Sus scrofa: one gene and its partners. The main gene of each other region encodes a partner of the protein of the gene in region 4 in a complex. Links are inferred from orthologs where the notes say so. Each region holds a gene or a part of one and is shown on either strand. Other genes may lie near its edges.

The links.
Region 1: MCM7 (region 4) and CDC45 share a complex: the UniProt entries of both Homo sapiens proteins name them as parts of the CMG helicase complex. The link is inferred for Sus scrofa from reciprocal best matches to the Homo sapiens genes MCM7 and CDC45.
Region 2: MCM7 (region 4) and GINS1 share a complex: the UniProt entries of both Homo sapiens proteins name them as parts of the CMG helicase complex. The link is inferred for Sus scrofa from reciprocal best matches to the Homo sapiens genes MCM7 and GINS1.
Region 3: MCM7 (region 4) and DONSON share a complex: the UniProt entries of both Homo sapiens proteins name them as parts of the replisome complex. The link is inferred for Sus scrofa from reciprocal best matches to the Homo sapiens genes MCM7 and DONSON.
Region 5: MCM7 (region 4) and GINS4 share a complex: the UniProt entries of both Homo sapiens proteins name them as parts of the CMG helicase complex. The link is inferred for Sus scrofa from reciprocal best matches to the Homo sapiens genes MCM7 and GINS4.

What each region holds. Positions count from the first base shown.
Region 1 is NC_010456.5:51,138,465-51,144,417, forward strand, and holds part of CDC45 (cell division control protein 45 homolog), read left to right. Parts: intron 1-2,667; coding exon 2,668-2,726; intron 2,727-3,930; coding exon 3,931-3,979; intron 3,980-4,818; coding exon 4,819-4,880; intron 4,881-5,492; coding exon 5,493-5,543; intron 5,544-5,953. UniProt on the Homo sapiens protein: Required for initiation of chromosomal DNA replication. Core component of CDC45-MCM-GINS (CMG) helicase, the molecular machine that unwinds template DNA during replication, and around which the replisome is built.
Region 2 is NC_010459.5:31,066,043-31,071,995, forward strand, and holds part of GINS1 (DNA replication complex GINS protein PSF1), read left to right. Parts: intron 1-3,216; coding exon 3,217-3,315; intron 3,316-4,364; coding exon 4,365-4,455; intron 4,456-5,555; coding exon 5,556-5,672; intron 5,673-5,953. UniProt on the Homo sapiens protein: Required for correct functioning of the GINS complex, a complex that plays an essential role in the initiation of DNA replication, and progression of DNA replication forks.
Region 3 is NC_010455.5:197,196,630-197,202,582, reverse strand, and holds part of DONSON (protein downstream neighbor of Son), read left to right. Parts: intron 1-1,573; coding exon 1,574-1,777; intron 1,778-3,491; coding exon 3,492-3,670; intron 3,671-4,496; coding exon 4,497-4,675; intron 4,676-5,554; coding exon 5,555-5,636; intron 5,637-5,751; coding exon 5,752-5,856; intron 5,857-5,953. UniProt on the Homo sapiens protein: Replisome component that maintains genome stability by protecting stalled or damaged replication forks.
Region 4 is NC_010445.4:8,005,390-8,010,671, reverse strand, and holds the end of MCM7 (DNA replication licensing factor MCM7), read left to right. Parts: coding exon 1-90; intron 91-382; coding exon 383-532; intron 533-732; coding exon 733-847; intron 848-935; coding exon 936-1,067; intron 1,068-1,242; coding exon 1,243-1,326; intron 1,327-1,589; coding exon 1,590-1,983; intron 1,984-2,331; coding exon 2,332-2,415; intron 2,416-3,185; coding exon 3,186-3,354; intron 3,355-4,111; coding exon 4,112-4,221; intron 4,222-4,411; coding exon 4,412-4,613; 3' UTR 4,614-4,782; downstream 4,783-5,282. Other genes in the region: COPS6 (COP9 signalosome complex subunit 6), read right to left, coding at 5,148-5,282. UniProt on the Homo sapiens protein: Acts as a component of the MCM2-7 complex (MCM complex) which is the replicative helicase essential for 'once per cell cycle' DNA replication initiation and elongation in eukaryotic cells.
Region 5 is NC_010459.5:10,659,121-10,665,073, forward strand, and holds part of GINS4 (DNA replication complex GINS protein SLD5), read left to right. Parts: intron 1-2,409; coding exon 2,410-2,496; intron 2,497-4,119; coding exon 4,120-4,233; intron 4,234-5,953. UniProt on the Homo sapiens protein: Required for correct functioning of the GINS complex, a complex that plays an essential role in the initiation of DNA replication, and progression of DNA replication forks.

The DNA of each region.
Region 1 (5,953 bases), on a different chromosome or scaffold from region 4:
AATACAGGGATGCATGTATCTTTTCAAATCATGGTTTTCTTAGGTAAATGCCCAGGAGCGATATTGCTGGATCATATGGTAGCTTTATTTTTAGTTTTTTTGGCCAGGCCAGGGATCGAACCACACCTCTGCAGCAACCTGAGCGGTCGGATTCTTAACACACTGCACCACCGCGGGAATTTTATTTTTAGTTTTTTAAGGGACTTCGGTACTGTTTTCCAGAGTGGTTGTACCAATTTACATTCCCACCAACAGTGCAGGAGAGTTCCCTCTTCTCCACACCCTCTCCAGCATTTGTTATTTATAGACTTTTTGATGATGGCCATTCTCCCTGGAGTGAAGTAGTTTTGATTTGCATTTGCATTTCTCTAATAATTAGTGATGTTGAACATTTTTTCATGTGCTTGTTGGTCATCTGTCTGTCTTCTTTGGAGAAATGTCTGTTTTAGTTTTCTGCCCATTTTTTTACTTGTTTGGTTTTTTGCTAGTGAGCTGTGTGAGCCCTCCTGCCCAGGCTTGGGGTCCCACAGTGTCCCACAGCCACAAGGGAAGGGGACAGGACCCTACTGTGCGCTCTGGGGAGGGTCAAAGAATCCTTGGACCGTGGGGGTTTTGTTAATCAGCTTTACTGACATTTAACTTCTACACAATAAATTTCTCTAGGTCTAATCTGATGAGATTTGACAATGTGTAAAGTCATGTCACGACAGAGAACAGAAGAGTTCCATCACCCTCCAAAAGTTCCCTCAGGACCATGGCTTGCCTTTTTGCGGGGGGGGGACACCTGAAGCACATGGAGGTTCCCAGGCTAGGGATTGAATTGGAGCTGCAGCTCCCGGCCTAAACCACAGCCACAGCAACGCCAGATCCGAGCCAAGTCTGAGACCTATACCACAGCAACACTGGATCCTTAACCCACTGAGCGAGACCAGGGATCGAACCCACAACCTCATGGTTCCTAGTCGGATTCGTTTCCGCTGCGCCACAACGAGAACACCTCCTTGCCCTTTTTTTTTTTTTGTCTTTTCTAAGGCCTCATGCGCAGCATATGGAGGTTCCCAGGCTAGGGGTCCAATCGGAGCTGTAGCCACCGGCCTACACCAGAGCCACAGTGACACTGGATCTGAGCCGTGTCTGTGACCTACACCACAACTCACAGCAACACTGGATCCTTAACCCACTGAGCAGGTCCAGGGATCGAGCCCAAATCCTTATGGATACTAGTCATGTTCGCTAACCACTGAGCTATGACGGGAACTCCAAGTTGCTTCCCTTTTGTTTCTGAGTTTGTTCCATGGTGTGGACCCACCTCGGTTTGTTTAGCCATATACTCCCTGACGGGCATCTGGGCTATCTCATTTCCGGCTATTGTGAAGAGAGCTGCTATAAACATTTGTGTGCAGGTTTGTGTGAACATGAATCTTCATTTCCCTGGAATGGATGACTAAGAGTGCATTTGTTGGCTTCTGTGGTAGTTAATATGTTCAGTTTTTTAAGAAGCTGCCAAACTTTCCCAGAGTGTCTGTACCATGTTACCTTCTGACCAGCAATCTGTGATGACCCAGTTTCTCCCTGAGGAGTGTGGCTCCTTCTTAGCACTGGGCACCATACCTGCCCTCTGACCCCACCCTGGTGGGAGGTAGGGAGGGGCACTGGGCCTTTGCTGTGGTGGATGGGGTGGGACCATGGTGTTTCTGGTGGTGGTGCAGTTAGAGTTGAGCAGTTATCCTCTAAAAGTTTTCTCTTTCAAGGCCGGTCCTTCCTGGTTCTTTGGCTTTTGTTGGGGATTTTTTCTTCTATCGGTGTTTCTGTGTGGCCAGCTTCTCTGGAATATATGAACAAAAAGGAAAACTCTGGGAACTCCCTACTGTGACATTCCCAGGTCCTGGGACCCTTGGCTGGTCAGCCTTCCTCTCCACCTTTCAGACTCTTTTCTTTTTTTAAATATGCACTACCAGGATTTCTAGGTACATTTAGTGTATGAATAGAGACAAATACATCTACCTATCCTTCTACAAGCAGAAGTCTAGAGACTACAGATTTTAAAACTGCGCCCTCACCTGTGCCTTTATTGTGGGAAGAGAAAGAGGTTGTGCCTGTAAAATTAGAATAGTTGCTGGAAACAGTGGGGTTAGGATGTGAGGAATAGGAGCGCTCTCTTTTTTTTTTTTTTTTTGCTTTTTAGGGCTGCACCTGCAGTATATGGAGGTTCCCAGGCTAGGGGTCGAATTGGAGCTGTAGCTGCCAGCCACAGCCACAGCAATGCAGCTCCGCTGCATCTGTGACCTACACTGCAGCTCATGGCAACACCAGATCCTTAACCCACTGAGCAAGGCCAGGGATCAAACCCACATCCTCATGGATCCTGGTCAGGTTCATTACCGCTGAGCCATGACAGGAACTCCCCGTGAGTTCTTTCTAACATGGTGGGAAAGCGGGGACGTGGCAGCTGTGGGCTTTTTGTGGCTCACATGGTACTGGGACAGTGGATCTGGGGTGTCACCTAAGCAGATGCTGGGGAAGCGTCCAATCCCATCCACAGTGGCCACGGGGCTGAGGGGCCCTGCCGTCCCACCAGGGGCAGGCTGTACCCTCAGTGGCTTCTGACAAATTGGATCCTTCTCAGCCAAACTCCTTGGCTCACCTTTTGTTCTCTTTGTCCTATATCAGGAAATCGTGGAGCGAACCATGAAGAGGAGGCAACGAAGAGAGTGGGAGGCCCGCAGGTGAGGGTCCTTCCATCAGCAGCCCTGCCTGCGGGACAGCTGGGGGTGGGGGGTGGGGTGAGTATCACTGATATGCCTGGCTTTTCCTTGGGGGCTTTGTGCATTTTTTTTTTCCATTTTAGGATAATGTGTTGAGTTTAGAGCCTTTGGGCCAGTGTCTCTAGGACTGAGCATGTGGCCCCTGCATTGGGGAAAAGCTCAGGGACCCTCCATGTCACCTTCATGTCCCATGAGTGATGGGCTGGGCTCAAGAGCTCCCAACACCTGCCATCTGTTAGGGATGACAGCCCTGGTCCCTCGTTTTAATAGTTTTCTAAATCTAGATACTTTTCTTTACAAATTCAATAGATGGAATTGTATGAAACTCCTCATAGAAAAAAAATTGAAAAGAAAACTAAGCTATCCATAGTTCCTCTTCATATTGCAAGTTAAAAAACTCAAGTGCTTTAAATGAAAATGTTGGAGAGGATACTCTAGCTCAAGGTGAACATGCAGCAGTGCGCTTGCTGGGAATTCCCTGCTAATTGCATCCCTATAAGGCCTCGTGGGTGTCTGAGTGTCCAGCCCCTGCCCTGCTGCTCCATCTAAGGGCGTGCCCCTGTCAGCCCCACTTGGGGAGGCTGGTTGTAAAATCATTTGGGGAAGTGCAGGAAAGAAAAGTGAATATAATCCATTTTCACTAATAGGAAGAGGTTCCAGCTTTGGATTGATCTGCCCGGGGTTGTCTGTGCTTGTGCACGTTTTACATCATCACACCTAATTTTGCACTTTTCCACGTAATAGAACCATAGTTCGGAAATCTCCACAGGCCTTTGTAAAGTGCACGGTGCCGAACTGGCCTTCCCCTTCTTTGTGAGCTGGAGGTTGCTTTCAGTGTTCTGCGGTGACTGTCAGGCTGAAGCAAACAACCTTGCACACCGCGAGGCCTGTCTGGCTTGTCCCTTTGAACTGCTGTCTTGCCTTAACTTCTTGTGGGGAGTGGAATCTGGGACTGTGCCATTTTACATCTTTGGTAGCCACACAAGGTTTGTGCCCCGGTCACTCCCTTCCCAATGCTGTACACTTTCAGTCCTTGGAAGAGTCAATAAGTGAAAACAAATGATTTCGTTTGGGTTTCTTTGAGTATCGTCCATTCTAGCATTTTTCCCACTGTTTGTTTTCCTATTCTGCTTCCTGTTGAAGACCTACTTTTGTGTCTTTACAGAAGAGACATCCTTTTTGACTACGAACAGTACGAATACCACGGGACGTCAGTAAGTCCAGATCCCGGGATTCACTGCCATGTCCGGACTCTAGGGGGCACTGTCCTAAAAGAGGAGGAGGAATCAGCAGAGGTTTTAGAGCCCCCGAGGACTGGTTTAAATCCAAGCCTGCAGCTTCCACCCTGTGGCCTGAGGGGAGGATCTGCTCTTAGCCTCTCCTCCTGGGAAAAAGGGAGATAGCAGGCCTCACTTCAAAGGCAGTTGTTGGGATGGCCTCTCACACTCAGAGGTGCTCAGGGAACAGCAGCCACTCTTTCTGTTCATCATCAAAAAACAGAACGAGCCTGCGCTGATTTCTGTGCAAGAAGATGAAACTTGATTTGTGTGTTAGGATTTTCATCAGAAAACCCAGTGGGTTGATTCTTGTGCTGCTGAGCAGAGCTCAGGGCCTTAAGGGGACCTAGAAAGTGGTTCTAGTAAAAATCCTGTATTTAGTCTCAGAATTTGACCTGGGGCCTTGGCCTCTGAGCAGGTACTTCAGAACCCCTTTTGAGATTGGTTTGCCCTTGGCGGGAGGATTCTGAGCTGTAGGTGGGTTCACGGGTGGAAACAGATGCATGGCTGGGAAGCTCTCTTGGAAACCAGTTTCCTTGGAGATGCTGAAGTCAGGCCAGTGTCTCACTGCAGACAGGGCTTTAGGGTCTCCTGGTCGGACGCTGATCTCCTGGTCTCCTTCTGGAACCCAGACCATCTTCTCAGAGGAGGCTGGACGCTTCCATTTATAGACCGCCCTGTCGGGAGACCTCTTTACAGGGACCTGGGCCTGGGAGTGTGGGTCTGGCCCTGCCATGAGCTCGGCCACTTTGGCCTCAGGCTTCTCTTCCTTGCAGTCGGCCATGTTGATGTTCGACCTGGCGTGGATGATGTCTAAGGACCTGAGCGACATGCTGTGGTGCGTGGCCCCAGTCGGGGCACAACTTTCTCTGCATAGCCCTGTCCTCCCACACCAGGTGAAATCTGGTGTAGGGGTAACCATTGGCCCACCTCTGAGTCTGCCACACTCAGCGCACTGTGGCATCTGAAGGTGGGTTGACTGGGGACTGAACCTGCAGAGCCTGAGCCAGGGGCAGTAGTTCTGGCCCTCCCAGCCCTCTGCCCTGGGTCCCAATTTTCTCCTCTGCAAGGTGACAGTCTGGTGAGGTTCCTGGCCCTGACCACCTCCAGTGGGGACTGTGACAGTCTGTGTTGAGTCAGAGCCCCAAAATGGCAGGGGGCTGGGACAGGGCCTGGCACTGGCCACGCCAAGGCCCAAAGGTGCTGTCACCCTGTGCCAGAGAGGGTAGCCTGCAGCCAGGCGAGTCAGGACGCAGGTGTGGGGGCCTGCTGCCCTTGTCATAGGGGATCTCCCTCCTGGGTACTGAGCATGCCCACAGTGGTGACAACCCAGTGGGAGCCCGGTCACCTGTCTGCTCCGCAGGGTGAGACTGCTGGTCTGATAGAGTGTCTGGGTCAGGTCACACAGTACCACCTGCCCTGTTCAAGACTCCATCTCATCTCCTTCCAGGTGGGCCATCGTTGGACTAACGGACCAGTGGGTGCAAGACAAAATCACCCAGTAAGGACGTGCTCCCTGAACTGTCTGCGATGGTCCTGTGCATGGCCTGGCTGCAGCTGAAGTTGCAGTGGGGGCTGAGGGGCAGTGTCCCTGAAGGCTTTGGTGCTCTCATCTCTCTTACCTCAGAGTGCAGATGCCTGGGGCAGTAGGCCAGCATCCCTCCTTCTGGCTGCTTGGGTGCCATCATGTGGAGACTATACCCCTATCCCAGGGTCCCTCCTCCTGCTCTGGGTTCCTGAACTTTGCAGAGGCCTATGAGCCCCCGATTCCTGTTGCACCCACTCTGCCCTGCCCACTAAAGCATCCTGGTGGCCCCTCAGGTGAGGCCCTGCTGTCAGTCCTGCTCAGTGGCCCTGGATGCGGTCTGCCCACTGCCCATGGCATCTACCCAGGAGGGCAAATGAGTGAGG
Region 2 (5,953 bases), on a different chromosome or scaffold from region 4:
AGCTAAGAAGGAAAACAACACCAGGAGAGAGAATAATGAATTGAAAATATTAGTAGACAAAAGAATCAGGGATGTTCTCTCCAAGGAAGAGACACTTCAGCTGGGGCCTGAAGGAGAAGCAGATTTTAGTGAGGCAATCATTGTGGACAGACAGTATTCTAGGTGGAGGAAACAGCATATACAGAGGCCCAGAGTCATGGAAGCATGGGATGCTCAGGGAATGATCCTTAAAGAAGGCCAGTGTGGCTGAAGTTTAGTGAGTAGGCAAAGGGTGACACCAGGGGAGATCAAGCACGTGAGGCAGGTGATGGCAGGTTTGTGTTTTAAAAGACCATCCTGGCTACTATGTGAGTAGTGGACAGAGTGGCTGAGAGGAGAGGGAGGTGTGCTGGACATGCTAGTGACAGGAGAGGTGAGCCGACCAGGGAAAAAGTGAACAGGTTCCAGACATATTTAGGAGGTAGCCTAACAGGCCTTTGTCTGGTAAGGGAATGATTTTCCTGTATTCATACCATTTGGAAATTCATGATCCAAGTTCTGTGCCCTACCCCCCTAGTTTCTTTCTAGGGGGGCAATCACTATTACCACTATTTCTACTTAGAATTATTTGTCAAACGAAATCTATTCCTATTTAATTACACATGTATAAATGTGAATTTTTTTTCAGAAAGTTCTTATATACTCAGTAAGGTACTCTGATGTTAGATTGGGTGTATTTTATTTTATTTTATTTTTTGTCTTTTCGCCTTTTCTAGGGCTGCACCCAAGGCATATGGAGGTTCCCAGGCTAGGGGTCGAATCGGAGCTGTAGCCGCCGGCCTACGCCAGAGCCACAGCAACACCAGATCCGAGCCTCGTCTGTGACCTACACCATAGCTCATGGCAACACTGGATCCTTATCTCACTGAGCAAGGTGATCGAACCTGAAACCGCATAGTTCCTAGTCGGATTCGTTAACCACCGAGCCACGATGGGAACTCCAGGTTGGGTGTATTTTATTTGTACTATTTCTTTATAACCCAACATTCATAGAGTGGCAGAAGTGTCTAGAACAGATCTAGAAGATGTGATGAGATGGGACATAGGTTTTGCCTCTGTTTTCAGGGCCTGGAGCAGGCACATGCATTTTGTATTCATCTGGTTCCTTTTAAAACTCCAAAGTAGGAGTTCCCGTTATGGCTCAGTAGGTTAAGAACTCAACCTAGTCTTTGTGAGCATGTGTGTTCGATCCCTGGCCTTGCTCATTGGGTTCGGGATCTGGCATTGCCGCAAACTCCAGTATAGGATCTGATGTGGCTGTGGCTATGGCCTGCAGCTGCAGCTTCAATTCTACCCCTGGCCTGGGAACTTCCATATGCTGTAGCGGGGCCATAAAAAGGAAAAAAAAACCCTCCAAAGTAGATTCTTACTCATTCTGCACATCTGGCTTTGTTCCCCCTCCCTTTTTTATTGTGGAAAATATACATTACATAGAATTTGCCACCTTAACTTTTTTTTTTTTTTTGTCTTTTTAGGGCTGCACCCGTGGGATATGGAGGTTTCCAGGCTAGGCGTCGAATAGCAGCTATAGCTGTGGGCCTACACCTCAGCCAAGGCAACTTGGGATCCAAGCCACATCTGCAAAGCTATGCCATAGCTCACAGCAATGCTGCATCCTTGGCCCACTAAGGCCAGGGATGGAACCTGTGCCTTCATGGATACTAGTCAGGTTTGTTCCCACTGAGCCACGATGGGAACTCCTGTACATCTGTTTCTTTTTCTTTCTTTTTTTTTTTTTTACTGCACCCATAGCATATGGAAGTTCCCAGGCCAGGGATCAAACTGATGCTGCCACAAAGACAATGCCGGATCATTAACCCCCTGTGCCACAGTGGGGTCTCCTATCTGGTTTTAAAATATGATACTTGGAGTTCCTGCTGTGGTGCAGAAGAAACGAATCCAACCATGAGGTTGCAGGTTTGATTCCTGACCTCAATCAGTGGGTTAAAGATCCAGTGTTGCTGTGAGCTGTGGTGTAGGTCACAGATGAGGTTCAGATCCTACATTGCTATGGCTGTGGTGTAGGTTGGCAGCTATAGCTCTGATTTGCCCCTAGCCTGGGATCCTCCATATGCCGCAGGTGCGGCCCTAAAAAGCAAATAAATAAATAAATAAATAAATAAATAAATAAATAAATAAATAAAATGTGATGCTTGTCTAATATCTACGGAGATGTCTATTTCATAGGGTAAAACCAAAATTTTCTCCCTCTTTATGTAAAGGACCCTGAAGTACAGAACATACACGTAGTTGAAGATCAGGAAATATTTGTTAGGAGTTCCTGTCGTGGCCCAGTGGTTAACAAACCCGACTAGTATCCATGAGGACACAGTTTCATTGCTGTGAGCTGTGGTGTAGGTCGCAGATGTGGGTCAGATCCCACGTTGCTGTGGCTATGGTGTAGGCTGCCAGCTACAGCTCCGACTCAACCCCTAGTCTGGGAACTTCCATATGCTGTGGGTGCAGCCCTTAAAAAAAGAAAAAAAGAAAAATTTGTTGGTTGAGTGGAGGACCATTTGAGTCTAGAATTCTTAGCTCACTTTCTTAGAATGAAGATTTGGAAGTATCACGAAAAGAGGACTCCATAGAATGAGAACGAGATAGGAGGAGTTCCCGTTGTGGCACATCGGAAACGAATCCCACTAGGAATCATGAGGTTGCGGGTTTGATCCCTGGCCTCGCTCAGTGGGTTAAGTATCTGGCGTTGTTGTGAGCTGTGATGTAGGCCAGCAGCTACAGCTCCAATTTGACCCCTAGCCTGGGAACCTCCATATGCCACAGGTGCAGCCCTAAAAAGACAAAAGAAAAAAAAAAAAACCAAACAAGACATGAGGCTGTAATCTTAGGCACCATGATACTTGCTCTCTTATCCCAGCTTAAAAAAGAGATACCCAGAAAGTGAAGAAACATGATGCTTATCTTTTGGAGACAAAGATTAATCAGTGTGAAAACACAAAGTGCCACATGGCTAAACAGGTCCTAGGCAAATTAGTTAGATTTGGCTTTTTTATCTTTTAGTGTGTTAGCAGAAGCTCTGATGTGGAGGCAGTTGCTGTTTGTGTAGGTTAACCTACACATAAGTGGATGAAAACAAGCATGGAGTCAGTTGTCAGTGGGCTTTGAAAATTCTACTTATACTGAATTAGATATTCATTTCCTCCTTAAATGTTTTACCAGGAATGAAGCGAAGTCAGGTGGACGAAGTGATTTGATACCAACCATCAAGTTTCGACACTGTTCTTTGTTGAGAAACCAGCGCTGCACTATAGCATACTTGTGAGTGTCTCTGTTTGCTGGGGTGCCATGTGGTTTCCTAATTAAACATTTCAGGTGGGGAACAAATTCTTACATTTGTCTTTTTTTTTTTTAAGCTTTTTAGGGCCACACCTGTAGCATATGGAGTTTCCCAGGGCTACAGCCTCCAGCCTATGCCACAGTCACAGCAACGAGGGATCCGAGCCGCATCTGCAACCTACACCATAGCTCATGGCAATGCCAGATCCTTAACCCACTGAGTGAGGCCAGTGATCAAACCTGCAACTTCATGGTTACCAGTCAGATTTGTTTCTGCTGTGCCACAGCAGGAAGTCCTCTTAGATTTGTCTTTTATAAGCATTCTAAATTCTTCTCTTTTTTCCATTTAAACTTTTTTTTTGAATGGCCACCCCCATGGCATATGGAAGTTCCTGGGCCAGGGATTGGATCTGAGCCACAGCTGTGACCTGTGCCTTAGTTGTGGCAGTGCTGGCTCCTTTAACCCACTGCCCTGGGCTGGGGATCAAACCCTGTGCCTCCAAAACAACCCAAGCTGCTGCAGTTGGATTCTTAACCCACTGCGCCACAGCGGGAACTCCCATTTAAACACTTTTTATTGTGAAAAATTACAGTATTCGTAGAACTGGGAAATATTATTACAGATCCCCATGAAGCCATCATATAGGTTTAATAGTTCTTAACATTTTGCCATAACTGCTTCATCTTGTTTTGTCTGCTAAACCACTGTAGAACTTTGGGCATTTTACCACTGAATATTTTAGTATGCATCTCCAAGAAATAAGGACCTATGGACTTTTCTCATAGGACCATTGTGCCATTATCATTCCTAGAGAAATGAACATGCCTGCACAGCATCTGTCCAGTCTGTATGCCTGTTTTCCCCATTGCCCCAAAGATGTCACATGACATGACAAGTGGTTTGTCTGCCTCAGGAGCCAAATAAAATTCCGCGTTACATTTCAGTGGTTGTGAGTCTTGAGTCTCTCCTGATCAAAACAACTTCTGATATCCCTTCTGTTATGCCATCTAATACCTTGTTAACGTCCTAGGTATGACCGATTGCTTCGGATTAGAGCACTCAGGTGGGAGTATGGCAGTGTCTTGCCAAATGCTTTACGATTTCACATGTCTGCTGAAGAAGTAAGTTATAAGTTAGCACTGTTGTTCAAGCTTATGAATTTGGAAACTGGCTGAGGTTCTGGCATTGTTGTGTAATAGTATCTACAGTGTTTCTCACATTTGTTTTTCAGTAGTTTTAGGTCTTTAGTTTATACTGAGAAAGAATGGCAGGAATAATCCTAAATAATATATGGAAAACTCTTATCAAAATAAAGGGTCTCGGAGAGTTCCTGTCCTGGCTCAACAAACCCAACTAGTATCCATGAGGATGCTAGTTCAATCCCTGGCCTTGCTCCAGTGGGTTAATGATCCAGTGTTGCTGTGAGCTGTGGTGTAGGTCACAGACTCAGCTTGGATCCTGAGTTGCTGTGGCTGTGGTGTAGGCTAGCAGCTACAGCTCTGATTTGACCCCTAGCATGGGAACCTCCATATGCTGTGGGTGCAGCCCCAAAAAGACCAATAACAAAAAAAAGAAAGACAAATATAGGATCTCATTATGTTACTTGTTATTGATCCATCAGTAGGATTAAAAAAACAGGCATTGTTGGAGTTCCCGTCGTGGCGCAGTGGTTAACGAATCCGACTAGGAACCATGAGGTTGCGGGTTCGGTCCCTGCCCTTGCTCAGTGGGTTAACGATCTGGCGTTGCCGTGAGCTGTGGTGTAGATTGCAGACACGGCTCGGATCCCGCGTTGCTGTGGCTCTGGCGTAGGCCGGTGGCTACAGCTCCGATTCGACCCCTAGCCTGGGAATCTCCATATGCCGTGGGAGCGGCCCAAGAAATAGCAGCAACAACAACAACAACAACAACAAAAAAAGACAAAAGACAAAAGACAAAAAAAAAAAACAAACAAAAAAAACAAAAAAAAAAAACAGGCATTGTTATTTGGGGATTTTCCATAAAATTTGTGTGTACGTACTTTCCTCATCAATGTGAATAGAGTTGATTTACAATGTTGTGCCAATTTCTGCTGTACAGAAAATTGACCCATTCACTTAATAGCTTATAGCCTTTTCAAATGACAGTATACTTATACAGTATACTTAAAGCTTTGTCAAATGACAGTGTACTTAAACAATATACTTAAAGCCTTGTCAAATGACTATCTTTATGTTGGCAGATGGATTGGTTCAATCATTACAAAAAGTCCCTTGCTACCTACATGAGGTCATTGGGAGGAGATGAAGGCTTGGACATCACACAGGATATGAAACCTCCCAAAAGCCTTTACATAGAGGTAAGTATACTTTTTTAAAATGGATTTTTCTTTTTTCTTTTTTAAAATAATTTTTTATTATTAAATTATAGTTGTGCCATAGGTGTCGCTGTAAAAAGCAAAAAAAAAGCATAGTTAATTTACAATGTACCAATTTCTGCTGTACAGCAAAGTGACCCAGTCATATATATTTATATATGTGTATATACGTGTGTGTGTGTATGTATATGTATATATGCATATATACACACACATTCCCTTATATTATCTTCCATCATGTTCTATTACAAGTGATTGGATGT
Region 3 (5,953 bases), on a different chromosome or scaffold from region 4:
TAATACTTTTTAAATGTCCTCAGAGTGTATATTCTTATAATATCAATCCATACTTCTCAGAAGCATTTTACTTGAAAAATGGCTGCACAGAGAGTGATCATCTCCACCAGGACTGAAATGATGGTAAAGGACTCAAGGCTTTGTGTGTGGTAGTTTTCTTTATAACAGCGCCAGTGCTAAACTAGGCATAAATGTGCGTTTTCCTTTCACCCCTGTAGTTTTCTAACTCTTCTGTAGGTAGTTAAGAAGTCTAGCTCATCACTCAGAGCTAACCTCTCCAGGCTTCGCTGCTTTTTTAACTTTTAATCCTTCACTGAATCTTCAGACCAAATCCCCAGATTAGCAACACAGTTGTGGCATATCACTGAACCTCGATACCACCACCACGCACACAAAACACTCTTTGCTTGCTTTCTTTTTTTTTTTTCTTTTTTTTTTCCTAATTTAGGACCACACCGGTGGCACATGGAGGTTCCCAGGTTAGGGGTGGAATTGGAGCTGCAGCTGCTGGCCTATACCACAGCCCCAGCCAGCCGGGTCCAAACTTCATCTTCCACCTACACCACAGCCCATGGCAATGCTGGATCCTTAACCCCCTTGAGCTGGGCCAGGGATCAAACAGGCATCCTCATGGATCATAGTTGGATTCGTTAATGGCTGAGCCACAAAGGGAACTCCCAAAACACTCTTCTTGATTCCGTTCCTCAGCTACTTTCGTGATACTTTAACAAATACATAGTTTGTCCTAATGGGAGCAGACAAGAAGAGTTCCCCAAGACCCAGTCTCCTTTCCTTGCAAATAAATGGTCTTCACAGGGTCTCTTGGAAATTGCCTCCTCTTCCTTATTATTTTTTTTAATAATGTCATCTAAGAGAATCACTGTAATGTGGAGAATACTGATTTGACAGCAAAACAGTTGGGGAGGAATATTTGAGGTTGGGAAATGTATCTTAAATATGGCCTCCTGGAACCCAACCTAAGTTACCTGCAAGAGCAGCTTTGCCCTGGTTCCAGAGTTTTAGAAGCTTAAAGGATGCTTTTTAAAAAATACTTGGAGGAGTTCCCGATGTGGTGCATTGGGTTAAGAATCCAACTACAGCGGCTCGAGCAGCTGCAGAGGCGCAGGTTTGATCCCTAGCCCAGGAACCTCCACATGCCGAGGGTGCAGCCCCAAAGATTTAAAAAATTAAGAAAAAATACTTGGAAGATTTCTGCTTTGATAATACTATTTTATAGTGGATTTTTTTTAAAAATGATGATTATGAAAATAGTACTTGTCTCTTGTAACTAAACTATATAGAACTATAATAAACTAAAAAATGAAAACTGTGCATCCAGTACCACCCCCCAACAACAACAAAAAAAATCCCATTTTCCAGAGGTAAGCAGTGTTAAAGGTTTATTGTTTCCATACCTCTTCACAGTGTGAGTGTATTTTCAATGTTATTTATTGTATAATACATAACATTTTGAAGTTTCACGGATTGTATTTTAGTTGATGAATTTTATAGATGGGAGGGCTTCTTTCTTGGTACCCTTTTTCTAAGTTTTGTTTTCTTTGTTTTCTGAAAGATTCCTCATGTATCATTCTCCGAATCTGATATTCCATCCTCAGAAAGTACTGAGTTACCTGTGGACTGGAGTATTAAAACTCGACTCCTTTTTACCTCTTCTCAACCCTTTACCTGGGCAGATCATTTGAAAGCACAGGAAGAGGCTCAAGGTGTCATCCAGCATTGTAGGGCAACAGAAGTCACTTTGCCTCAAAGTATTCAGGTAACTGAAAGAAAACAGCCATGTTTTATTTTTTATTTTTTTAAAGAGTTTTATTTTTTCTGTTATAGTTGGTTTTCAATGTTCTGTTAATTTCTGCTGTATAGCAGAGTGACCCAGTCATACATAGAGGTAGTCATTCTTTTTCTCACATTATCCTCTATCATGTTCCATCACAAGGAAAACAGCTGTGTTTTAAAGTAACAATTTAAGGGAGTTCCTGTTGTGGCGCAGTGGTTAACGAATCCAACTGGGAACCATGAGGTTTCGGGTTCGATCCCTGGCCTTGATCCGGCGTTGCCATTAGCTGTAGTGTAGGTTGCAGATGCGGCTCAGATCCCGCATTGCTGTGGCTCTGGCGTAGGCCAGTGGCTACAGCTCCAATTAGCCCCCTTGCCTGGGAACCTCCATATGCCGCAGGAGTGGCCCTAGAAAAGGCAAAAAGACCAAAAAAAAAAAAAAGTTAAAAAAAAAGTAACAAATTAAGTGTACAGTGTACTTCTCTGCGAAACAGCAGAGATATTTCTTTCCATTAAGTTTTTCTGTTGACATTTAAAAACACAGGAACTTGGAAAATATTTTATTTCCCAAATGATGCTTTCATACAGTTTCAAAAATCAGATTCAATAGCTGCCCGTTAAATTTATAGACCTGTTGTGAGTATTATTCATTGTTGGCAGGCAAGAGTTGCTTGAACTAAACCATTGTTTTCTAAGGCCTTTTGAGAAAGAAAATGAAAATGAAAAAGAAATGAAAAGAATGAAAAATGAAAAAGAAATGAAAAGCAATTGAGGAATAGGATTGCAAAAACTGATTGGTTATTTTACTGATTTTCTCACATAATGTATATGTATTTTTTTAACACACTAATTCTTATGACCTGGGTGATAGTCTGTTGTAAATTTAGAGTCAGTGAGCTAGATCTAGGATGGTTTTATTTTATTCTATTTTTGCTTTTAGGACCGCACCTGCAGCATATGGAAGTTTCCTGGCTAGGGGGTCAAATCGGGGCTACAGCTGCTGGCCACAGCCACAGCAGTGTGGGATCCGAGCCATGTCTGCAAACTATCCCACAGCTCGTGGCAATGCCAGATCCTTAACCCACAGAGCAAGGCCGTGGATCAAACCCACATCCTCATGGATACTAGTGGGGCCCGTTACCACTGAGCTACAACGGGAACTTCCTAGAATGGTTTTAAAGTAATATAATTGCATTACTTTCAGGCAGCTCATCACCTCAAATTAACTTAAAAGAGATTTTCCGAAAGAGGGCCTGGTATGTCTTTTTCAATAAATAGATGGGGATGATTGGTGATTCACAGTATCGGGTTTTACTGGCTCCTTTTGAAACAATGTAGTGAGGGAAGGGGGTTGAACATAGTGTTACCTACACACATACCCCCCCAAACACACACTATTGCCCTCCTGATAAAAAGAGGCAGTCATTGTTAAGAGGATGGTAGAGGCAGGCAAGTATTCCGTCTATGTCTGAGTGCTCCTTCTGATATGTGGTTTAACAGACTAATTGCTGGCAAGTAAGGCCCCTTTTCCTAAACAATAATAAATTACATTTTAGCCCCTGTAACAGTTATTAACGTGTTCCTATAGGAAGCAGCAAAGATTCTGAGAATAGTGTTTGGTGTATTCAGTGTCTTTTTAATTAAATTCTCTGTTACTAATGGGGCAAAAACTGTCCAATATCCTCCCTGGATTTTAGGATCCCAAACTCTGCACTGAGCTCCGTTGCGCCTTCCAGCAGAGCCTTATTTATTGGATCCACCCTGCCTTCCCATGGCTCCCACTGTTCCCTCGTATTGGAGCTGACAGAAAAATGGCTGGAAAGGCAAACCCTTGGTCAAATGATGAAACCCTGCAACACAATTTACTGAGTGACTGGTAAGATTAGTTAAAAAAAAAAAAAAAAAAAAAACCCAAAAACTTGTGCAACCAAAGAGTGAATTTTCATTTTAGCAGTGTTCTCTTCTTATTTATGACTTAGAGGTGTGTAGTAGTAGAGGGAATTATTTTATTTAAACTGTTAATAACCAGCATGTAAGTTATTTACTTTTTCAGCCCTTATTCTCTCACTCTTTATGTAGTTCTGGCATGTATATAAGTGTGTGTTAAATATGTAGGCGTAATTCCTCTTTTTTTTTTTTTGGCTTTTTAGGGCCACACTTGCGGCTTATGGAAGTTCCCAGGCTGGCGGTTGAATCAGCCGGAGCTACCAGCCTGCAGCACAGCCACGGCAACGTCAGATCCAAGCCACGTCTGTGACCTACATCGCAGCTCATGGCATTGTCGGATCCTTAACCCACTGAGCGACCCCAGGGATCAAACCTGCATCCTCATGGATACAGTCGGATGTGTTACTACTGAGCCATGATCAGAACTCCAAGGATCTTTTCTTAACCTGGGTGCTGATCATCAGTGTATTCAGTTTGTGAAAATTCACAGAGTGATAAACTTATGACTTGTGCTATGTAGTTATAGTTAAATAAAAAGTTCACAGCATTTCAAAAAAAGAAATTTTTAAGTCATCAGTGAGTCCCATGACCAATTTCAGTCCTTTAAAAAGCCAAGTTCTGTGTCATGGCAAAAAGTCAAACCATTGTCTGTAATATTTGTGTTTTAAATCAGACATCAGATTAAATTATGCAAAATTAAATTTTAGATGTTAAGTTAAATATTTAGTAATACTTAAAAATTTTTTGCTTCATAGGTCTGTGAGCTTAACTTCTCTATATAATCTGCTGAAGACAAAACTTTGCCCCTATTTCTACGTTTGTACCTATCAGTTTACTATCCTGTTCCGTGCAGCAGGATTAGCAGGAAATGATGTCATGACAGCCCTTATATCTCCTACCACTAGAGGTATCAGAGAAGCTATGAAAACCGAAGGTAAAACTATACATTTAAAGTGAAAATACCACACTATATAGTAAACACTTTCCTTAAAAGCTAAAATTTGAAATGTCTTTTACTAGTTTTATCTAATTATTTTAAGAATTAGTTTTTTGGCATTTAATTAAGCTGTCCTTTATACATAGCTTTAAGGTAGCGATGTTCCTTCTCCAATCTTCAAACATAGATTGAGCTGGAAAATCCTAATCTGCATATGCTCCTATAGAAATTTTTTTATAGTACAAATAACCTCTCCCCTTTCAATAACATGGTCTTTAAACTGGGTCAACTCATTAGTGGATTATGAAATCTACTTAGTGTGCTTATTCAACACTTTAAAAAAAATGAAAGTGAGAAGAATATACTTGATGAAAGGGTACCACCTGTCGTGAGAATGTGTATTGTTTCCTAAAAACCTTGTGTTTCAAGGAGATATGTGTGTGTCGTGAGCTGCTGTCAAGACAGTATGAAAGTGATCTGCTTTAATAGATCAAGTGTAAAAACTCATTTTTTTTCTTTTTTTTTTTTTTTTTTCTTACCTTTTCTAGGGCCGGTCCCGCAGCATATGGAGCTTCCCAGGCTAGGGGTCTAATCAGCTGCAGCCCCCGGCCTACGCCAGAGCCACAGCATCTTGGGATCCGAGCCTTGTCTGCAACCTACACCACAGCTCACGGCAATGCCAGATCCTTACTTAACCCACTGAGCAAGGCCAGGGATCTAACCTGCAACTTCATGTGTCTAGTCGGATTCGTTAACCACTGAGCCACAAAGGGAACTCATTAAAACTCATTTTTAAATATCGTATTCTCCCAGCACGCTTATTAAATTCTTCTAGGTTATGTTAAAACTCAGTTACATTTTTCTTTCCTCGTGTAGGTATTGAATTTTCTCTGCCTTTAATAAAAGAAAATGGCCATGAGAAGAAGGAGGCATCTGGAACAGGCTTAGGACATGGGGAGTATGTGCTTAAAACAACCTTTTCACATCATCTGGTGACTTAATGGATTCAGTAGTTTTGAAAAAGAAACATCTTTATGAAATGCAGACCCTAACTAACTATAGAAATTTCCTAGGGGGCAAGCAGTCAGCGATGAGGATGAAGAAGAAAGTTTTTCCTGGCTGGAAGAGATGGGTGTGCAAGATAAAATTAAAAAACCAGATGTACTTTCTATCAAGCTGTATCCTTTCGGTTGCCGTTAACCAGAATTGACTTTCATTGAATTAAGTTAGTGAGCAATGTAATAGTAACTGGCAGTTTTGTTAGACTGTAATCTC
Region 4 (5,282 bases):
TGCCAGACCAACCGCTCAGGAGGGCGACTGTATCTTCAGACACGTGGCTCCAAATTCATCAAATTCCAGGAGATGAAGATGCAAGAACATGTGAGTTTGGGGGATGTGGTCTGGGGCTCAGGGAAGGGGGAGCTTGGGAGTCCGTTTGATTCTTGTAGTCGTTCAGAAGCATAAGAAAGAAAGTAGAACAAAAGGGGAGAGTCGAGGCAGAGAAGTCAGTGAGAGCAGGACGGGGTTTAACTGGAACTTTCTGAGTTGGGAAGAGTTTTAAAAAAAAGCCTAGTTTTCCTCTTGTCAGCTTGCTTGAGGCTAAGCAGACCAAGAAGTGGCCATAGTGTGTATAAGGAGAGAAAGGCAGGCCTCATGGACCCTTCTTCCCCAGAGTGACCAAGTGCCCGTGGGAAACATCCCTCGCAGCATCACAGTGCTGGTGGAAGGAGAGAACACGAGGATCGCCCAGCCTGGGGATCATGTCAGTGTCACCGGTATCTTCTTGCCGATCCTGCGCACCGGGTTCCGACAGGTGGTCCAGGTGAGAAAGTTGAAAATGAGGTGGTGGTTCCTTTTTTCTCATCTCCTCACTCTTTAACAGCCCCACAGAGAAGAGTGACAGCAAGCAACAGAATACCAAACAAAGCAGAACAGAGGGTTCTGTCAGGAACTCCTCAGGGACTCACATGGAAGGGCAAGTTAAAGGCGCTTCATTCATACCCTGGTGTTTTCCTGCTCAAGGGTTTACTCTCAGAAACTTACCTGGAAGCCCATCGGATTGTGAAGATGAGTAAGAGTGAGGATGATGAGTCTGGGGCTGGAGAGTTGAGCAGGGAAGAACTGAGACAAATCGCAGGTGAGGGGTCAGGGGAAAGACTGGGATCCAAATTTCTCCCTAGCAGTTTTTTTCTCCCAGAAAATACTTAGTCTTCTTTTTCCCACAGAGGAGGATTTCTATGAAAAGCTGGCAGCCTCCATTGCCCCGGAAATATACGGCCATGAAGACGTGAAGAAGGCACTGCTGCTCCTGCTGGTGGGAGGGGTGGACCAGTCTCCTCGAGGCATGAAGATCAGGGGTGAGTGGAGGCATTTGGGAGGAAGAAGGGTAAGGACCTTCCAGCGTCCACAGGCCATAGAATAAGCCTGCCTCGGCTTCACGGGCACGGGGGGCATGGGGGGCAGACCTTGAAAGTGTTGTTTTCGGACAACTTGGATTGAAAGAAAAGTCACTCGGGGGCCTCCTTCCTCCAGGCAACATCAACATCTGTCTGATGGGGGATCCTGGAGTGGCCAAGTCTCAGCTCCTGTCTTACATTGATCGCCTGGCCCCCCGCAGTGAGTTCTCAGACCCTGGGAGGCAAGCCCGAGGACAGGAGTAGGACCACCTCGTTCCGTGTTTGTGCTCTTCTGGGAGGGGTTGGGGGGTGGAGATGTGATCAGCGCCACCACGTCGCGGATCTGCAGCTGCCTCGGGCAGGCCTGGCTGGGTCAGCGGAGCGGTCGGGCAGGCCTCGCCTCACTGGCCCCCTTCCTTCTTTCCTTTGCCCTCTTCTTAAACACAGCTGCTAACTTCCTCTCTTCCTGCCCCTTTTGTTCAGGCCAGTACACAACAGGCCGAGGTTCCTCGGGAGTGGGGCTCACGGCCGCCGTGCTGAGAGACTCCGTGAGTGGAGAGCTGACCTTGGAGGGTGGCGCCCTCGTGCTGGCCGACCAGGGCGTCTGCTGCATTGATGAGTTTGACAAGATGGCGGAAGCTGACCGCACAGCCATCCACGAGGTCATGGAGCAGCAAACCATCTCCATTGCCAAGGCAGGCATTCTCACAACACTTAATGCCCGCTGCTCTATCCTGGCTGCTGCCAACCCTGCCTACGGACGCTACAACCCTCGCCGGAGCCTGGAGCAGAACATACAGCTTCCTGCGGCTCTGCTCTCCCGATTTGACCTCCTCTGGCTAATCCAGGACCGGCCTGACCGAGACAATGACTTGAGGTGAATATTCGCAGCACAACAGCCAAGGAGCCACCCCTCAGTTACACCCTCTGGGGGCGGGGGAATATTCGCAGCACAACAGCCAAGGAGCCACCCCTCAGTTACACCCTCTGGGGGCGGGGGATTGGAAACCTCCTCGTCAGCCCATGGAAACTGGAGCATTTCCCTCTTGCAGAAGGGGCTGGTCCAGTTCTCAGGGTGGGTCAGGGTTGAAATGCAGATGATCATTTTCTGAGAAAGTTTGTCTCTGCTGGGCTGTGACACACAGAGCTGAGAGAGTAAGATGTAGGCTTGGGGTACAGTGCGGATCACCGAAAAAAGTGTTCATACTTGCCTCCCCTCTTCCAGGTTGGCCCAGCACATCACCTACGTGCACCAGCACAGCCGGCAGCCCCCTGCCCAGTTTGAACCTTTGGATATGAAGCTTATGAGGTAGGAGAGCTGGGTGAGGACTGGTGTCGTTCCCCACTCGCTGTGTGTGTGGCAGTGTGTGCATCTCTCTCTGTCCTGGGGTTCCCCTGCTTGGCCACAGGAGACCATCGCATAGAGCTTGCCTTTCCTACCACTTGCATCACCTACCTGTCTCAGGGCTGAGAGGGGTTCAGATTTTAGGCAAAGCTGGATCCTGCTGCATGGATATTTTTCTTTTGGGAGCCACACCCATAGTATATGGAAGTGCTTGAGACCAAATCCCAAGCCACAGCTGTGGCAACACACCGCAAGGGGCTGGGAATCAGACCTGTGTCTCCACAGACACAACAGATCATTTCACCTGCTGCACCACTGTGGGAACTTGGGATACTTGATAGCACTGTTTTCTCCACAGAGTCTGCCCAAGAGCTCTAGGTATTTTATCTATTTTCCTGAAGTTAACATGTGACATGGCTAAAGGAGAGGACTTCACCATCTCTTAAGACAGGTGGATTTGTCTTACGCAAAAACCATTTTCCTTTGGGCCCTTCCTGACTTTTGTCTCTGGCTGACAGTGCCAGCCCCACACTGCGGATGTTTGGCAGGAGGGGCAGGGCCTAATTTTAAGTTGGGAGTAATTTGAAATGTGACACTTGGAGAAACGAGTGATTTTTAAGCAAGCAACATTAATTTGTTTTTCCTACTTATAAGTACATCTACCCCCAAGAGTTTTCTTAAAGGTAAAACTTAATACGGAAAAAACACACCCTGCCATCTCTCCTTTCCCACAGGCGTTACATAGCCATGTGCCGGGAGAAGCAGCCCACCGTGCCCGAGTCCCTGGCTGACTACATCACCGCCGCATACGTGGAGATGCGGCGAGAGGCCTGGGCTAGTAAGGATGCCACGTACACTTCCGCCCGGACCCTGCTGGCTATCCTGCGACTGTCCACGGCGCTGGTGAGTGCCGTCTCTCTTGCACTGGAGGATGGTCTGTTTGGGCTCTTACTGGGCAGCCTGCCTTAACGCACCCTCGCTGCCTCCTCCCTCCCTCCCAGGCCCTGCCGGGGCTAAAGTGCTGACAGTGCAGATAGTGGTCCTCTCCGTGCTACCGCACTGTGGGTACTTGCTGCTCCAGCAGGGCACGCACAGCGTCCTGGAGGGAAAGGCCTTCTCCCTGCTTCTCAGACCTCACCGAGGAGGCGGGTGGGGTTCACTTCACTCCCTGTGTCCTAGATCCTGTGCTAGAAACCCACCCTCACCTTGGACCTTAGTCCTGGGGGCTCCAAAGTGCTGTTCGTGCAGGTAGTGTGATAACCTAACCTACTGCTGAGCTAGCACTTCCCGAGCCCCAGGGGCGCAACCTCTGCCCATCGCCTTCTTGGCTGAGCTCCCAAGCTCCATCTGTCATGGTGGGGAGCCCAGTGGAGTTCCGAAGGGTCTGGTCTCCCTCACAGGACAGCTGAACACCGGGACTGGCCAGTGTTGAGAGGCGGAGACTTGGGCAATTGCTGGACGCTGCCCTGGGCATTGCACTTGTCTCGGTCTGACAGTGCCGGCCCCACACTGCGGATGTTTGGCGGGAGGGGCAGAGCCTCTACGCATTTATGAGCGGGAACATGTGGGTTGCCAATCTTAAAACTGGAGTCGGGGGGGGGTGTCCCTGACTTTGTTCCATCACCTCCTCCGTTCCCATCTCTCCCTACCTTCCCCTTAGGCGCGTCTGCGGATGGTGGACACTGTGGAGAAGGAAGACGTGAACGAAGCCATAAGGCTGATGGAGATGTCCAAGGACTCGCTTCTGGGTGACAAGGGCCAGACAGCTAGGTGAGTGGCTTAGTGCAGGATGTCCGGAGTTGCCTTGACCTTGAGTAGAACAGTTATCCTGTGACTTCTGCATCCCATATCTGTGATGCTGGTCTCAGGTCTTTAGACCCCTAACACTGACCACCGCTGTTCAGATACTGGCTGTTCTGGTTACACCCTGGCCTTACACACCCATGCTTGTTTCCTCCAGGACTCAGAGACCGGCAGATGTGATATTTGCCACTGTCCGTGAGTTGGTTTCAGAGGGCCGAAGTGTCCGATTTTCTGAGGCAGAGCAGCGCTGCATATCTCGGGGCTTCACACCTGCTCAGTTCCAGGCAGCCCTAGATGAGTATGAGGAGCTAAACGTCTGGCAGGTCAATACCGCCCGGACCCGGATCACTTTTGTCTGATTCCGACCTCTTGAGACACTGGGGTCTGTCTACTGGGCTTACCGTGCTAACCCCCCTTCCTTTAAAGGCCTAATGATGCCCTGGGGGGTGGGGAGAGGCCCAGCTGCACTTGTATTCATTCCTTTTGCTAATAAAGTGTGTAGATTTGCTGCCTTCTGTTAAAACAGAATTTTGCAAGTTTTCAAGATTCACCTTACTCATAGTTGTCTTACCCAGCCACTTAGTCTCAAAAAAAGGTATGGCCACTAGTACCTCTGCCTCCTAGGGTTCAGGCATGTATCACACTGTAGGGAGCACACAAGGCTGCAGTAAGAGAGAAGCCACCCCTTGGCAATACGGTGCCCGCAGGGTCAAGGCCTCAAGATCCAAGATGAGAGACCTGTGTGGTACCTAACAGAGAGGACAGAGCCACCAGAAGGGGTGCTGAGGGGCTGCTCCCCTTTATTAGTGACTGGTTTCTCTAAAGGGAGTAGAGCACCCCTCCCCTTGACAGTTGTCCGACCCTGGTGCATCACCCCTTCAAGTACCCTCTTGTCAGAAGAAGAGCCCCCGCATCCGCCTGCCGATGCCTTGTCGGTCATAGAGGACGTTGAACTTGTTCACGAACTGGTTCATGGTATTGCACGTTTTGGTGATGGTGCCTAGGTAGGCCATGAGTCCCACGTCATT
Region 5 (5,953 bases), on a different chromosome or scaffold from region 4:
CTGCCCCTTTGCAGAACTCTCTCATGTTTGTTGCTTTAGCATTATTTATTTTTTTCTTTTTTTGTCTTTTTAGGGCCATACTTGTGGCATATGGAGGTTCCCAGGCTAGGGGTCTAATCAGAGCTGTAGCCGCTGGCCTATGCCAGAGCCACAGCAACGCCACATCCGAGCCCCGTCTGCGACCTACACCACAGTTCACGGCAATGCCAGATCCTTAACCCAATGAGCGAGGCCAGGGATCGAAACCGCAACCTCATGGTTCCTAGTTGGATTCATTTCTGCTGTGCCACAACGGGAACTCCCAAGCTTTAGCATTCTTTGTGCTCTCCTACCCTAAATGCCATCATGAGTGACAAAACCCAAGAAGGTAATTTTGAAATTATATTTTCTATGAGAATTCTGACCATATTGCAGTGAATTCTTAATTTGTTTTTATATCAGAGCTTTTTTTTTTTTTTTTTTTAATCTTTTGAGAGACACGCCCATGGCATATGGAAGTTCCCAGGCTGTGGGTCAAATCGGAGCTACAGCTGCCCACCTACACCACAGCCACAGCAACTTGGGATCCGAGCCACGTCTGTGACCTTCACCACAGCTCATGGCAACACCGGATCCTTAACCCGTCGAATGAGGCCAGGGATTGAACCTACATCCTCGTGGATACTAGTCAAATTCGCAACCCGCTGAGCCACAGTGGGAACTCCTTGTGTGTATTTTTGTACCTATTGAATAAAAAGGAAATAAAAATTCCTGCTTTATAAGTCCTCTGATAATTTGATCTTTTTTTCACAAATTCTGCTCCTTGAAAATACAGGACGTCTCAGAGTTCCCACTGTGGTACAGTGGGTTAAGAATCTGACTGCAGCAGGCCAGGTCACTGTGGAGGTGCAGGTTCAGTCCCTGGCCTGGGAACTAACTAACATGCAGCCATAAAAAAGAAAGAAAATACAAGATGGTCTTTCTGGTTAATTCTATATATCTGCAATACTATTATAAAATTTTGAGCACCTGGAAAAAATGATAGTAGCAATACCTGATACTTAATAACATGTCCAGATGGTGATGTTGGAGAAGCAGAGATGCAAGGATGTCAGAAGGAATAAATGGAGGCTGCTTGGCCTGTAATTCTGAGCTATGCTAAAGCGAAATCCCCTGTGATTGCAAGATTTCCTCAGTCCCCTGTTTTAGTTCCCTAAGCCTTGATAATTTCTGAAAGGTACCAAGTGTCTGGACCTGAATCATAAATGAGGAATTGACCGTCTCATTCCCAAACTCTGTAGTGGCAGAATTTCCATATCTATTGTGACCTTTTATACTCTTGGACTAACAACTTCATCTCCGTTTCTCATGAGTAAGGTACAAATAACCGTACCCACTTCTCAGATGAGTATAATGATGAGTAGGAAAGCGTGAAGTGCTCTGAGCTTCAGTAAGAGACTGTAGATTTACCACGTCTCCTCCCAGAATAGAGGGGTGCTGGTGCCCCTGGTGGACAGTAGCAGGAAGAGTAGAAAGGTGCTGCTTCTTGGTAAAGCGCACCCTCTGGCTACCAGGTAGGGTTATTCTTAGCAGGAGGTATGCTGCCAACATTTCAAAGTGAATGGTGATTTTTTTTTTTTTTCCTGATAATGCTGGTTGAATAAAAGGTCGTGAACACAGCCCGCCCACTAAAAGAAATTAAAAAGCCATCATTAAACATAGCTAAATATAGTTAAACATTTCCCGTTGTGGCTAGGTAGGTAAAGAACCCAACTAATATCCATGAGGATGCGGGTTCAATCCCTGGCCTTGCTCAGTGGGTTAGGAATCCAACATTAGGAGTTCCTGTCGTGGCTCAGTGGTTAACGAATCCGACTAGGAACCATGAGGTTGCGGGTTCAATCCCTGGCCTTGCTCAGAGGGTTAAGGATCCGGTGTTGCCGTGAGCTGTGGTGTAGGTTGCAGACACGGCTCAGATCCCGTGTTGCTGTGGCTGTGGTGTAGGCTGGTGGCTACAACTCCGATTTGACCCCTAGCCTGGGAACCTCCATATGTCAAGGGAGTGGCCCTGGCAAAGGCAAAGATTAAAAAAAAAAAAAAAAGAATCCAGCATTGCCATGAGCTGGGGTTGTGGGTCACAGACGTATCTTGGATCCCTTGTTGCTGTGGCTGTGGTGTAGGCCGGCAGCTGCAGCCCCAATTCGACCCCTAGCCTGGGAACTTCCATATGCCACAGGTTCGGCCACAAAAAAACAAAAACAAAAGCATAACTTGTTTTCAAAGCATTTCCAGTATTTCCATCTGGTCAGCAGTCATCTTTGCTGAAGGAGCTGTGATTTGGGATGAGTGCACTAACTCACAGGGTTATTTCGCTCCATTGTGAGTAATGCTCTTTCGTTGGGGGTGGGGGGGGTGGCATTGTTTTTTCAGGCCTGGATGAATGAAAAGTTTGCACCTGAGCTGCTGGAAAACAAGTCTGAAATCGTAGAGTGTGTCATGGAACAGCTGGATCACATGGTAAGAGGTGCCTGTCTCGGGTCAAAGGACAACTCTAGGAGGGATGTTGGCAGAGTGAGAGAGGTCGTGCTCTGAGAGCAAACCTGTTTGGCCCAGCCTAGTTTTGTTTTAAACACTGAATGAGTTATCTACGTTTACAAAGCGTGAGAGCCCCTGGGAACATCTGAGTGTTGGCTTCCCATGAAATCCCCATGGATATAGGCTTCTCAAAACCTGTTCACACCACTCCCGTGTCTGTACATGAGAACAGCTGAGCAGAGCAGGGTAAGGGCCACCCTTTCAGGTGCCCCCCAATGCCCCAGGCCCTGGGCGCCCACCTTCCTCCGCTGTACCTCACCCTCCTGGCCCCGTGGCCTCTGAGTTTGTTGCCTTTGGCTTAGATGAGCCCGGCTTTGGTCACTGTCAGCCTCAGGGTAGCTGTTTTACAGTTTCTTGGCTAATGTTTTCACACTACTTTTAACATCCTTAAAGGAGTTCCCATTGTTGCTCAATGGGTTAAGAACCCAACTAGTATCCATGAGGATGTGGGCTCAACCCCTGGCCTCGCTCAGTGAGTTAAGAATTCAGTGTTGGAGTTCCTGTCGTGGCACAGTGGTTAATGAATCTGACTAGGAACCATGAGGTTGCAGGTTCGATCCCTGGCCTCGCTCAGTGGGTTAAGGATCTGGGGTTGCTGTGAGCTGTGGTGTAGGTCGCAGATGCGGCTCGGATCTGGCATTGCTATGGCTGTGGCATAGGTGGTGGCTACAGCTCTGATTAGACCCCTAGCCTGGGAACCTCCATATGCCACGGGAAGTGGTCCTAGAAAAGGCAAAAAGAAAAAAAAAAAAAAAAAAAAAAAAAGAATCTGGTGTTGCTAAGAGCTGTGGTGTAGGTCACAGATGCCATTTGGATCCTGTGTGGCTGTGGCTGTGGTGTAGGCCTGCAACTGTAGCTCCAATTCAGTCCCTAGCCTGGGAACCTCCGTATTCCTTGGGTGCTGCCATAAAACAAATGAAAAAGACCCTTCAGATCTTTCTTCTGTTCTGCTGTGTTATCTCCTTTACAGTTGAGTTGTTCTTCTGGGCCCTTCTGACCACCCAGATTCAGATTCTACTCAAATGGTCATTTTCTACAAGCAAAAGAGTACTGTTTGCACTTTTTGCAACAAGACTGTAGTCGTGTATAACTGTGTGATTAAGAAACTAAAATGAGAGCCCTTACAAGTTGCTTTGTCCTGACCGCATGTGGCTTCACCACTGCCAACAGTGATGGTCCTTGTGGGCCTCGTGCAGTGAACAAAAAAAGTGCTTAGCCTTTGACGCTCCTATGCTCATGCTTTTTTACAGACTTCATGTTCTCTGTTTTTGTTCTGTTTGTTTGTTTTGCTTTTTAGGGCCACACCTGCAGCATATAGAGGTTCCTAGGCTAGGGGTCACAATGGAGCAGCAGCCACCACCCTTCGCCACAGCCACAGCAGCACAGGATCGGAGCCGAGACTGCGACCTACACCACAGCTCACAACACTGGATCCTTAACCTACTGAGCAAGGCCAGGGATTGAACCCACATCCTCATGGATCCTCATCAGAATCGTTAACTGATGAGCCACGAAGGGAGCGCCCCTCATGTTCTCTGTTAATAGGAGGAAAATCTCAGGAGAGCCAAGAAGGGGGACCTGAAGGTCAGCATCCATCAGATGGAGATGGAGAGGATCCGCTTTGTCCTGAGCAGCTACCTGCGGTGTCGGCTCATGAAGGTTTGCCAAGGGCTCCCTGCAGCCCATCCTAGGGAGGAGCTGGGAGGGTGCAGCCTGGAGATGCCCTGGGGCCCCACAGCGGGGGGCCAAAGTGAGGAGGGCCAGACATCGTTCCTGGGTGTCACCCACATCGCAGATCCAGGGACGGTGTTAGTCTGACTGCTGCTCGATGGCGCCCCATGGAGTGGCCCTGTGGCAGCATTATGGGTGGAATTTGCATTGGTAGAACAAAGAATACTGAAGAAGGGAACTAGATGGTTTGGGGGTTTTTTGTTTGGGTTTTTTTTTGGGGGGGGGCATGCCTGTGGCATGCAGAAATTTCCAGGCCAGGGATCAAACCACAGCACCACAGCAGTGCCCATGCCAGACCTTTAATCCCCTGGCCACCAGGAAACTCCCAAGGAGAACTAGTTTTAAGAACTCTTTTGCATCTGTCATTCAGTCAGTGTCAAGTGCACCACAATAATGACATTTAACGCAGTCTCTGCGGCCACCTAACTTATAAAAATGAAACTGCAAGACATCCTGATTTTGTATCGTGTCTCTTTTAATCCTGGAACGTTCTTACTTCTTTGAAGCTGCTTCTCCTTTGGTTCCACTTGTCCTCTGAGTTATTACAAAGCAAACACATTTGCTTCTTTAACAATATGGGTCTGAACTGCATGGTCCACCTGTAGGCAGAATTTTTTCACTTGAATCTGCGGTCACAGGACTTTGGATGCAGGGGCCAACAGTAAAGTTATTCACAGGCTTTGACTGTACAGGGTTGAAGGTGCCCCCCCCACCCCGCAACCCCAGAGGCATTCAGGGATCACCCGTACCCTCTTCCACGTGAGAGCGCCGCAGAGATCTGACAGCAGCTCCCCGGGCTCATCAGAGTCCTCTAGCTGAACATTTCGGCCTTTATTTTCTCCTCTTCTCTTCCCTGAAAAGGTTTGTCCACAATCTTCCTAAATTATCCCACCCTCAATGGAGCACAGAATTCTCACTGTCATTTGGTCACTTTGGTGAAAGACGGGCTGACCACTTCCTTTATCCTGGATGTTAGACTGTTGGATTGGTGGTGATGCTGCCCAGCATCACGTAGCACTTGCGGGCTCATTCTGCCTCTCCGTGAACATAAATCTCTTCTGAAGTTTTAAAATTATTGTTATTACCCCATGCTGTCATCCCCAAGTGTTTGCATGGCTTGATTTATTTTTTGGCTGTACCCGTAACGTGGAAGTTCTCAGGCCAGGAGTCAAACCTGAGCCACTGCAGTGACAGTGCCAGATCCTTAACCCCTTGCACCACTAGGGAAGGATCAGACCTCCTTGATCTCCGCCCTCGGCTCCTCCTCACTGTCGTCCTGACCCTGCTTGCGAGGAGTAGTTCCCCAACGGAAGTGACCATGACAGCATGGACTCCAGACCAGAGTGCCCTGCCTGGTCCCTCATCACACACACACACCTTTCTGTGGCTTTTAGCTTTTTCTTCTCTTTTTACGGCCACACCCTCGCCATGTGGAAGTTTGCAGGCTGCCGGCCTGCACCACACCCACTGCAACACCAGATTCAAGCTGGGCCCGCAACCTACACCACAGCTCACAGCAATGCCGGATCCTTAACCCACTGAGCGAGGCCAGGGATCAAACCCCCATCCTCACAGATGCTATGTCAGGTTCTTGACCCGCTGAGCCACAATGGGAGCTCTTAGTTTTTTGGTTTAATTTTTTTCTCAG